Arabidopsis thaliana: one gene and its partners. The protein of the gene in region 2 interacts with the protein of the main gene of each other region in a pairwise test. Each region holds a gene or a part of one and is shown on either strand. Other genes may lie near its edges. The genes, in order: HAC1, BZS1 and AT5G12980.

Region 1 (3,755 bases), on a different chromosome or scaffold from region 2:
ATACGCACAACAACAAGAGGTTAGAAACTACAATTTAGGGATGGGAAATAAAGACTTTACCCTGCATTCCTGAACGCTGAAGATTATCATAAGCCTGCTGTGAATTTCTGATAGGATTGGTGTAGGATGTACCTGAATCTACGCTTTTTGCATTCATTCCAACACCACCATTTATGGAGCTGTTAGACACATTAGACAATTTTTGTTGCATTCCAGGTCTAAGGCCAACACCCATTTGACTTCCATGGTTTTGCAGCATACGACTATTTTGGCCACCAATATCCTGCCTCAGTTGCTGTTGCTGAGTCTGAGGTACCATCATGGGAGCAGTAGAAAATCCACCACTATTGTTGGAAGCTTCAACACTCAAGTAAGACTGGCCATTATTGCTGTTGTTATTAGTACTACTGTTGACAAATCCAGGGGTAGGCATCATCTGGCCGGTATTTCTCTGGGAGCTCATGGATGACATGTTCCCTCCAGACCCAAGACCAAAGTTACTCGATGAATGTTGGTATCCATTAGACAGGTTACCTGCAAAGAGAAGTAAAGGTGTTCAGAAAAAATATGCGCAGAAAATTTTATGCCCATATTTTATATAAGTTGTAGTGAAAGAACCTCCAAGCATGCCACCAGAATTTAGCAGGTTTCCAGTGTTCATAGCACTAGTTGTGATGTTATTACTTCCAGCCATTGTAGCATCACCTGAGGAAGTAATCATCAAATTTGGATTCCCACCACTGTGTTGTAATCCTGGAGTGGGTATCATTGTTCCAACCGAAGAAGAATTAGCGTGTCGCTGATTGTAGTTATTTAACTGCCTGCCTTTGATTAGACTTGCCAGCCGAGGTTCAAGGGTTGACGGGTTCACGTAATCTTCCTGCGATTCAAAATGGAAGTGTAGCACGTTAACAAGAAATTTCAAGTTAGGACATTAGCCAACAAGCTGGATCTAGTGGCAAAATTTTAAATGCCAAATACGTGCCTATCCTTTCCTTAAGTATATTAAATAAATACCTTTGTGTTAGCAATTTTAAACAGCCCCTCCTCTAAGCGTCTAGCAACATCCATATATTTAGCCTTTGATGCTTCATCAGCTGGAGATGGTTGCTTTTGCTGTAAGATATTGAAACTGAAAAGAAAGAAGAGAAATACACGGATTTGATTGGCGATAAACTGGAGATATTGAATCCAATCCAAAATAAATAGCCGTATAACAAGAGCAAGGAAATATAACTGCAAAATGGTGGGAAGACACCAAAGTCAAAAGCTTGAGAAAAGCAAAGGCTTACATCCTGATTCGCATAGCCTGCCGAAGTTTCAAGATGTCATTGTCAACGGGAGAAACGCGTGAAGGTCCTAAACCAGCACCAGTAGCAGGAGCTGAACCACCACCAACTAAATTCTGCATTTGGGAGTTCCCATTTTGCTGGGACATAGTCCCTTGGTTTGAAACCTGCCCCGACATGTGAGCCTGAACATTCATAGCTACCTCTTCAGTCTCCGTCGCCTTGTCCTAGTTCTTCTGGTAATTAACAGTAACAAACACTGCATAACTTTCCTCTCCTCCAGAAGTCACAGTATCCAAATTTCATCTCCTGATTTAGCACCTTAGAGAATGTCCTGCTAAAAAAACTTGGTGTAATCAGAGAACTGAAATTGTCACAATTTGATCTCATATTAATTGGGAGATAGTATCAATCATAGTATCAACTAAAGAAGTAATTAAACCCCAAAATAGTTACCAAAAATGAACAAAATGATAAACCCTAAAAATTCACCCCCAATCTTTGAATTGATACAAAAAGGAGTAAAATTTGGCAACAAAGTGGAGAAATTTGACGGAGACCAACCGGTTGCTACAGATTGTACGATGATTGGAGTCTGCACAATGAAACAAAGCCGGTGAACAGCCGATGCGGCACGTGTGAACTCAAACCAAAAGCGAGGTCAGAAATTAGGATCAAGCAGTAGACAAATCCCAGAAAGAAGATGGCAAATCAAAAGCGAATGAATTCAGGTTTTCCCAAATCGGGGGATGTTCTGGGCTTGTAGGTTCGTCGAATTTGGGATTTTTCTTTGGACTCGCTCGATTTGGGGATTTTGTTTTTTTTTTTCTTTCCTTTCTAGGGATTCGTTGTTTTTCTAAAATAGTAACTCAACAAAAAATACACATTAAAATATTAATTTTGCTGTCTGAATACGATAATTGGCGCAACCAAAAGGCAAATAAATGAAAAAATCGACAAGCATTATGTTTAGATCGGACAGATTAGGATAAACTATAAGCATATGATCCTGTCCGTCCGCCGTAAAAAAAAAAAAGACATGATCTTGTCCGTCCGATCAAATATTTCTTAATGTACAGATATACCCTTGTAGCTTAAGACTTATCTGTTTTCAGTCTTTGACCAAATTAAATGCTCTTTCTCCGAACCGAAAACACCTAATAACCGGAACTCATGAACCGAAAATCAAAGTCAGGTTGGTTACAAACAATTCAATTACACAGCACAAAATCTGGATTACAAAAGAGTTTTCACACGCATATGATCTCGTCTTTATTTTCAAACAGAAGCAACGAAAATGTTTCCCCGGGAAAAACAAGTTGAATGAAGCAGAGACTGTTGTAGAATGGTTCAGCGGTAGAGACTCTCCGACCTCAGATTCTCAGCAATCTCTGTCTCCCATCGATCTCCATTCTCAAGAAGCTTCTCTTTGTCATAGAGAAGTTCCTATCATAGAGAATATAACAAAAATTTCAATAAGCATGCCTCGAAAATTATTAGGGTCTAGAAAATGTGAAAAACAGACCTCGTGTGTCTCGGTTGCGAATTCAAAGTTAGGTCCTTCAACGATTGCATCAACGGGGCAAGCTTCTTGGCAGAAACCACAGTAGATGCATTTTGTCATGTCGATATCGTACCTGTACGATACAGCTCAAATCATCATGAAAGGGTAATAAAGAAAGCAGATGGTTGATAAATGAGAACTAAAGGGATGATGACCTAGTGGTTCTGCGGCTTCCATCTTCCCTCTCTTCTGCCTCTATTGTGATTGCTTGAGCTGGACATACCTGATGAAAAGGACAAGTATCCCTCACAAGAATTACAATCCGTGGTGAACTTTTATACACACTAAATAGATCATTGTCAGCTAATATGACCATTTCATCAGAACTCTAGAGACTAAACAGTAAATATTACTCATACTCAAATAGCTTTCCTAATTACTAAGATGAATTTGATAGACTCAGAGTACCATATCAGAACAAAGAGAACGTTAAATTAAATGAAGGATTCATATCGATCTCAAAACTCACAGCTTCACAGAGTTTGCAGGCAATGCAGCGTTCTTCCCCGGTAGGATATCTTCGAAGAGCATGTTCACCACGGAAGCGAGGGCTCAGAGGACCCTTCTCAAATGGATAATTGATCTGCATACACGAAAGAGCTTCAGTAACACAGATTTCTTTCAATCTAAGTTTGGAAGACTAGAAAAGATATCACTCACAGTAACTTTTGGATCAAAGAAGTACTTGAGGGTCAGCGACAAACCGCGGACCATTTCTGTGAGGAACAGGGTGTTTATGCTCCGTTCAAAGACTACAAATTTGAGAATATCAGGAATCACTAATACTCGGGGAGGAAAACACCAAGGAAGATAGACGTACAAGAAAAGAAGAAAGGAGAAAAAAAGTAAAATTGTCTAGATCATATGGATTACCAGTATTCCAGTCCTTGGAGATTTCCTTA
Region 2 (3,755 bases):
GTATAGATATCAATACAACAAATACCTGAAATTAAATTCAAAGAAAAAGAAACTAAGATTAAAAGAGGATTGGTTGACAAAATAAATTTAAAATCATAATGTGAGATAAATATAGAAACAACAATACTAAAAAACGAAAACAACAAGTTGGTTTGGATTCATGATTACAAACCCCAACTTATAAAAAAAAGACTATAATTCGACAGAAATAAGTTCAAGAGAAGGGTTTGTGATCCCAAAACCCTTGATGATGGAATTGTGAAGAACCATCATAAACCCTATAAGACTCACTGTTATTGTTATTAGTAATAATGTTATCCTCATAGGAGACACAAGAAGGGTGTTCAAGCAAATCCTCCACTCTCCAACCCGGTAATGTCTCCATCAAATACTCGGATATACTACCTGTACAACCCGATCCCGACCCCGAATCGCTCACGTGATGGTAGTTTTCTTCTATCCCATAATAGCAATTGCTCGTGGTCGTCGAAGAAGAGCTCGTAAATACCTCATTGGAGGCCGAGCTCGGGACCTCGCTCGATACTGATTTTGGTCGGGTTTTGGCTCGACCAAATGCAGCAGCAGAGTTGGAATTGGAGGCTCTTGGGTAGGCTGACGGGGAGGCAGAGATCTTAACGCCGGTAAGGAGGAATCTATTGTGTTTCTTAGTGTGCTCATTAGCTTGATGTATTGGAATGTCACATTCTCTGCATAGTATTGCTCTGTCTTCTTGGCAAAATAATAATGCACGCCTCTCCTGTCATATGTATAAAGGTTTAGTACCATTTAATAATAGATAATCAAGAAGACTCTTGTTTTGTATCCATCTATTTTAAAACATACTTATCTGCTAGATTTGACCTTTTCAAACAAAAAACATTCCATTTTATTGTTTTATTTTATTTAATGAACAGCAAAAAGAAATATCCTTTTCTCCACGGCTTACCTTCCCAAAGAAGAAAGTATTTTAATATCGTAATAACTAATAACTCGATTTAATTGGTTAATATCTTAAGTTTGATTAGTGTGTAACCAAATAAATCACCAAGGTGTTTGGTAAGCTCAATCTCTGTTCTCTTTTTGAGAAAAGTAATATTTGGTCGTGGCCATAAAATTCCTCGTCAAAAATTGTGTGAAACCTCAAATTTGCTAGGAAAGGAAGTAAACTTGTTGCCAAATAATCATTTTCTCACCAACCAACAAACAAATCTCGGAAAGAAAGAAGAAAAAAAAAGTGACTCAGGTCACCCGAAACATCCGTTCATGAAACCAGATTTCCATCAATACTATAACATATCTAAAAGCTCACAAATTTTCCAAGTGAAGATTATAATTCTATCAAGAAAGGCAAAAAAAAAGAGAGAAGTGTTAAATTTTGTTGTTACGTACCCCGCAAATATCACAAAGAGGAGCATCTTTGAAAGTAGGAGAAGTGAGAGAGAACCGGAGATGTTTCCCGGCTAGTTTATTGGCGAAATGAACATGGCGATCGCAACCATTACAAAGAGCTGCTTCATCCGCACAACAAAACACCGAAGCTTCTTCTTTATCACAAACAGCACACCAAATCTTCATCTTTCTATTTTCTTTCCTCTCTGTATTACAAAAATAACTTTATTTTTTATTGTTTCTTGAATATAACAAAATTGCTTCTTCTCACTCTCTCCCTCAACTTGTACCTTTGGACCAGTACTATATAGTAGTGTTTATGTAGAGACACTCATGTGGGTGAGTGTATGTAGAGGTTGATGGGGTATAAGTGTGGGCAAAAGGGTAAGAATAATGTGTTGGCTTTATAGATAAGCAGCTTAGGTTTCCTTTGTCTTTTTTAACTCCTTCCTCTCATTTTCTTGATTTGATAGCTACTCTCTCCTTTGCTTTCAATGCCCCCAAATTGACTTGTTTTGGTTTTGGTTTCACACCCGGTTTGATCTGGTTTAGAATTCAGGGAACTTAAACAAAAGCATACCGGGTATGTAAGTCAATTAGTATACGTTTTAATCACAAATTACATTAAATTTCGGTTTCATAGAAGGAGGCAGATATTATAATTGATAGGAACTTGACGGTAGTACTAGTATGATTAAGTTAGTTAATTTTTGTTTCATTTAATAACACTGAGAACTATTAATTGGTAGTTAAGCTCATTTGTTTCTTTAGTTTAAATGAGTCTTAAACTCTTAATGCTTTAGAAAAATATTATGTAATTTATACGAATGTAAGGAAAAACAAAAATGATGAATCAGTTTAATTGTTTCTTTTATATTACCGAAATAGGTAAAGAGGCCTAGAAGTGGGAACTTTTAAGGCTCTTATGGAAGAAAAAGTGCAAAAGTGGAATTTAATAGTACAATCTTTTTGGTCTAAAATTCATCTTTTTAGTCAGATGCTAGTTAATCTAATTAATAGAAACGACAAAAAAATCGAAATAAAAACTAATTAAAGAAATGGAAAAGGTGGGGGAACTTTGAGAAATGGCCAGCTCTTCATGCCAGCTTTTGTCTTCCATCATCCATGTGTATATCTACTTCCTTTTTTTTTTTTTTTTACCTCAATAAATAAATATCGCCGCTCTTTTTTTTTATATAGATTTTATGTGTATTAGTTGAACAAATAGTATAAATTATTGAATGGCAAATCCATTTTCCAATCTTCTTCATACACTCAACAAACACTGCCATGTATTTGATATTGGTTTCGGTATAAACCTAACCAACCATAGCTTATTTAAAAACCATAGCTTTATGAACTTCAATTTATTCTTACAGATTTTGGTTCAGTTTCTATTCCGGTGGTTTGTATCGGTTCTGTCTAACTTGATTGAAAATGGTACAATATGCTGTAATCGTTATAAAGTGGCCTTAATGACCGTTGAGAATTGAGATTTAGACATGATCTAATTGTATTAACAGGCTAGACATGATCATCGCTTGTTCATGTATCTTTTTAATGAATGAAATTTCTTAAATGTTCTCGTAGTAATCCCAATAACCAAACATACTCGTATTAATATAAGCTTTGCGGTCATGTCGGCCATATTGTTCGAATTTAAATGAGTTTTTTTTTGGTATAATAAACGCTGAATACTTTTGATATAAAATAAGTAGAGTGGATCTGATCTTTTGAAGAATAATAATTTTAGATAATATATAATTTATGAGGAAGAAGACGACAAAAAACACTTTTAGAGGAAGAAGATATGGATGATCTCTCTCGATTCTCGAATCTTTCCCCTCGTTACTTATTTTTTTTTTGTCAACTTCCCTTCTTGCATTAAAAATCTATACATTCATTTTGACTGACTCTTTGAAGAAAATTTTTAAGAATTTTTGAGTTTGGGTTTCAACGAAGTAACTTCGTCAGGACTTGGTACTAAAAAACGATATTGTTGATCTCATTTTTTTTTTTTTTTATCCAAGCTGCTGCGTGGAATCATATCGTCTTTTGGTTTGCATTTGATGTACATAAAGAAAAACAAACAAACCAGGTAACAAATCGTTTTCAAAGAAAAAAAAGAAAAGGTTCTTTGCGTGATTTTAAAAGAGATCAAATTTTTTATATAATATTTGTAGATCTTGAGTCACATGGATGTACTACTGGACTTTTTGAAAAGGTTCTTCGTGCACTTTTTAGACATTCCTTCTTATAAAATAGTATGCATGGGACCTTTACCAATTAACTACTACCATCAATTATTCATCGATGGACTCCAATTAATTTCAAATTTGTTTCCATATTTTTGTGTAACCTAACAA
Region 3 (3,755 bases), on a different chromosome or scaffold from region 2:
TCGTTGTTTCTCAAATCACCAAAATATTTATTTACAGCCAAACAGTTGTTAGCATGTAAAAGAAGTGTTCCTGCCTTTTTGGCATAAACATACTAAATAACTAGACGAGGAAACAAAACTCAAATATCAATACATACCTTAACAAGTGCACCAATAACCCCCAAGCTAGTCAGCCGCAGGTACTCAAACGGTCTTGATTTGCTTGATGTATTCAAGAAAGCATACAGGTACAATGGCAGATGGGCTGTATTTTGAAAAGCAACAGACTTTAAACTTTAAGCATATTATAGCCAAACACACATCTAATAAATGAGATCAATCAGAAAGAGACCAACAAGGTGGCTCTTAAAACTAGTTTTGGTAGACGGGTTGGGTATTCAACTAATGCAATCTATCTCTATAACTTTAGTCACAGAGCAAACACCGAAATTATTTGAATGAGAACTAAGGAAGAATTGTTCGGGCACAGGACTGTACCTTTTAGGAACAACATTCTCGTATCAGTATGAGAAGCAACACACTGGATGTACGAAAAAAGAGTCGAATCAATAAAAAATAGAGTCTTCCAAATTGAACATACATATATAAACGTTTGTAAGTCTCCCTAAAAAAGAAAGAGGAAACTGACAATATTTTATGCACCTGAAGAAGAGCAAGTGCATTGCACACCCTGTTAGATTGAGCAGGAGTCATGGTTGGAGGAGATAGGGCAGGGTAAACTGCGATAATCTCCTGAAAAGAGGAAAGAAAGAAAATGACTAGATCTTAACCAATACAATGTACATCAAATCTCAAAAGTTAAAATGCTAAAACTATAACAGTATATAGAGAAGCCAGAAATCAATAAATAAATTCCCCTGAAGAATAAAGGAACAAGTGCCATATAATAACATGGAGGAGAGGGTACCTGTAGAAGAGCAGGAATGGTACCAACAGAATGCCATAAAAGCGGAGCCAAATCTTGAAAGATCTCTCTCTTCTGAAATAATGAAACACGGGATTAGACATGAATTTCAGTGAGAAGAACTTCTTAATGTATGAAATCAAAAGCAATGAGTACAGTAAACATCAAAACCATTTGATTTTTTAATTGTCCAGACGTTTAACTTCAGTGAAGAATCCTCATACCAACTTAAATTGCTCACCAATCGAGATCAACGCCTTAATCAGTGTTGAACTATTTCGATTATTTAATTTCATCCCCTATTCATGCAGGTTTACAATCTCAACAATAATCGTACAAATTCCCTCAAAATTTGCGGCAAGGAAGAATTAGGAGTCGGTAATCTAAAAGCATGTCTACGATTCACCGGACTAAACAACCAAATACATTCGAAATTCCATTCAATAGAACGCAGAAAACGAAAACCCAAACGATCAAAAATTCGCGAGTAAGAGAATTCGGTGAGAGAGAGATGACCTTAGACAACTCGTGAAGTGCATTTTCTCTGAGTTCGGGATTGCTGAGATCGAGAATTAACTGCTCCGCCGATGATAGCTTCCGATCGTTGTTGGAGGAAGAAGAAGGAGAAGAAGCTCCTGAGAGGGCGACAGATTTCATGGAGAGCGGAGGAGGAAGATTAGCCATTAGAGCCCCGTCACCGTTTACACGCGCCGCAGAGAGAATCGCTACTTGTGACAGTGAAAGGAGGAGATGTATTTATAGGACCTAAGGGGGGCGTGTATGTCACGTGCCTCGCTTGCTCCGTTACGGGATTTGTTCAAATCTAAATCTCACGTGACTTGTGAAAAAAAAAAAAAAACTCTCACGTGACTCTCCCGTGCCTCACACAACTTAAGATTCTGAAAGATAGATTATAAGATTTACATGATTCACATTATGACTTAGCTAATGTAGAAGACAATAAAAAAACATAGGTATTTTGATATCAACAAGCCAAAAAAACACACACTATATCTACTTTGTTTGTGGCGCCAAAATAAACTGATTTAATATCTTTATTTATTGCGGTACAATAAATAGTTTAACCGTATATCCTTTTATTTTTGTTTAACATGAATTTGTCGTGTCACTCGGTGTAACATGCAAGGGGAATATGTGGCTCCAAAACTCAACAAGTAGTGGTCGATTGGCTACCGAAACTAATTAAGGTCAATGCAATAATTTTATTGACAAACAATCTAGCATCAACAAATCTATATACAGTCACAAAATTAGAACTAGATACACCATATTGTCCTTATAAAGAAAATATATCTTACCGTTTTAAAACTAAAATCAGACAAAATTCTAGTACAAAACCTTAGACAACCAATCTACCACTTCACATCCAAAAGATCGGTTTTCCCAAGTTTCTTCTAGAAACAAATGTCACAGAATAATTAATTGTGATTTGATACCAACTTAAAACACTCTAAACCCAAAATTTATATATACAATTGATGTCACGAATGCTTCCGACTTCATCTTGAGAACTAACTCATCACAAAAATTGAATTGGAAGTTGTTACGCTTTGGCATCTTTCCAAAGCATCCACAAAATCTTGGCTGAAGTAATTGAAATACTCTATAGTAAATAACGAAGTTAATCATTTTCAACCTGAAATAGAAATTTAACATTCGGATAAACAAAACTCAAAACTAGAATGTGAAAAGCATTACAAACTAATATGTCAACAATGGGAAACAGAAGATACAGAAAAAAGATATAAGGAATGAATCTATGGAGTAAAAGGAATGTGTTTATGATGAAGAGGGTCGGATCCAGTTGGAACTTGTCTTTCTTCAACTTCATTAGCTGTTCCTCCATCAATCTTCTTCTCCTGTTTTCAGTACCAAAACAAAAAATTAATCATCTTTGCATCAAAATCATATAGAAAAATACAAACGAATATCAAATGCAAAGAGCTAGCTAGAAAACAAAAAGTTTCATACTTTTTATTGTAAAAATAAGAAACGAATTGTTCATTTCCTTCAAAACAGTCGCGTTGTGTTTCTAGGAAGAGATTTTCTTACCTTTTTCATGGCTTTCGTATCTTGTGTTTCTCCTAACCAAAAGAAGGCTAGAAACAAAAAGAACAAAGAGGATTGATTCATCATGTTTTGAACCCAAACGATGAATAAAGATGAGAATATTATTAAACATATCACATGACACTTACATTTTGTAGAAGAAGAGTGAGCAAGTAGTGAGGACGAAAGAAGAAGGATGACTAATATGATAAAAACGCTTCCTTTGTATTTCATCGCCGCCATTTCAAAAACCTCTTTGTGGTAAGAGTCTCGACAAGAGTGACGAGAGGTGTGTCGTCGTCTAATAAGGTGAAAGTTCCGGGTTTTAACCTCGTTTTACAGCTTTGTTGGGGCCAAATCCGTCATTTTGGTTGTTCTTTTTGGGATGAGATTTAAGCTGTACGGACACAGATTACCGTTTACAGGCTGGCTCGAACCAAGACAAATTATCATTCTCGTACAAATGTCGTGGTGCCACGTATCGCCGCCACGTCTCCGCTTATTTGTCGAACCAAACATTGTCACAACTTCCCGCCATTTTTTAAGTTGTCTTTCAACGAAGCAGAGGAAACTAGGGCTAATCCTTCTTAGAAGATCGTGGGCTTTCCTTATCGGCCCATTAATGAACCCAGTTGGTAACTAGGGAATTTTTGAAAGCTTTGTTGTCGCTGTATCTTATAGGCCAAGCAAAAGTTGTTAGTAAGTTCCTTATCTTCCTCGACATGGACCAATGGAGGTCTTCAACTAAATAATTAAACAGTCATTAAATGATAGATAACGT

What was found.
Region 1: the proteins of BZS1 (region 2) and HAC1 interact in a two-hybrid assay, tested with the Arabidopsis thaliana proteins (one large-scale study listed by BioGRID).
Region 3: the proteins of BZS1 (region 2) and AT5G12980 interact in a two-hybrid assay, tested with the Arabidopsis thaliana proteins (one large-scale study listed by BioGRID).

The regions. Positions count from the first base shown.
Region 1 is NC_003070.9:29,722,499-29,726,253, forward strand, and holds the start of HAC1 (histone acetyltransferase of the CBP family 1), read right to left. Parts: upstream 2,138-3,755; 5' UTR 1,854-2,137; intron 1,627-1,853; exon of another isoform or gene 1,624-1,626; 5' UTR 1,487-1,623; coding exon 1,293-1,486; intron 1,133-1,292; coding exon 1,018-1,132; intron 881-1,017; coding exon 619-880; intron 535-618; coding exon 61-534; intron 1-60. Other genes in the region: AT1G79010 (Alpha-helical ferredoxin), read right to left, coding at 2,640-2,735, 2,815-2,926, 3,009-3,076, 3,323-3,436, 3,514-3,605, 3,727-3,755. UniProt on the Arabidopsis thaliana protein: Acetyltransferase enzyme. Acetylates histones, giving a specific tag for transcriptional activation.
Region 2 is NC_003075.7:18,204,847-18,208,601, forward strand, and holds the start of BZS1 (B-box zinc finger family protein), read right to left. Parts: upstream 1,839-3,755; 5' UTR 1,576-1,838; coding exon 1,390-1,575; intron 758-1,389; coding exon 215-757; 3' UTR 1-214. UniProt on the Arabidopsis thaliana protein: Acts as a positive regulator of seedling photomorphogenesis. Plays a negative role in brassinosteroid responses.
Region 3 is NC_003076.8:4,106,552-4,110,306, forward strand, and holds the start of AT5G12980 (Cell differentiation, Rcd1-like protein), read right to left. Parts: upstream 1,682-3,755; 5' UTR 1,589-1,681; coding exon 1,421-1,588; intron 980-1,420; coding exon 908-979; intron 733-907; coding exon 643-732; intron 521-642; coding exon 478-520; intron 245-477; coding exon 138-244; intron 1-137. Other genes in the region: CLE40 (CLAVATA3/ESR-RELATED 40), read right to left, coding at 2,683-2,784, 2,978-3,024, 3,124-3,217.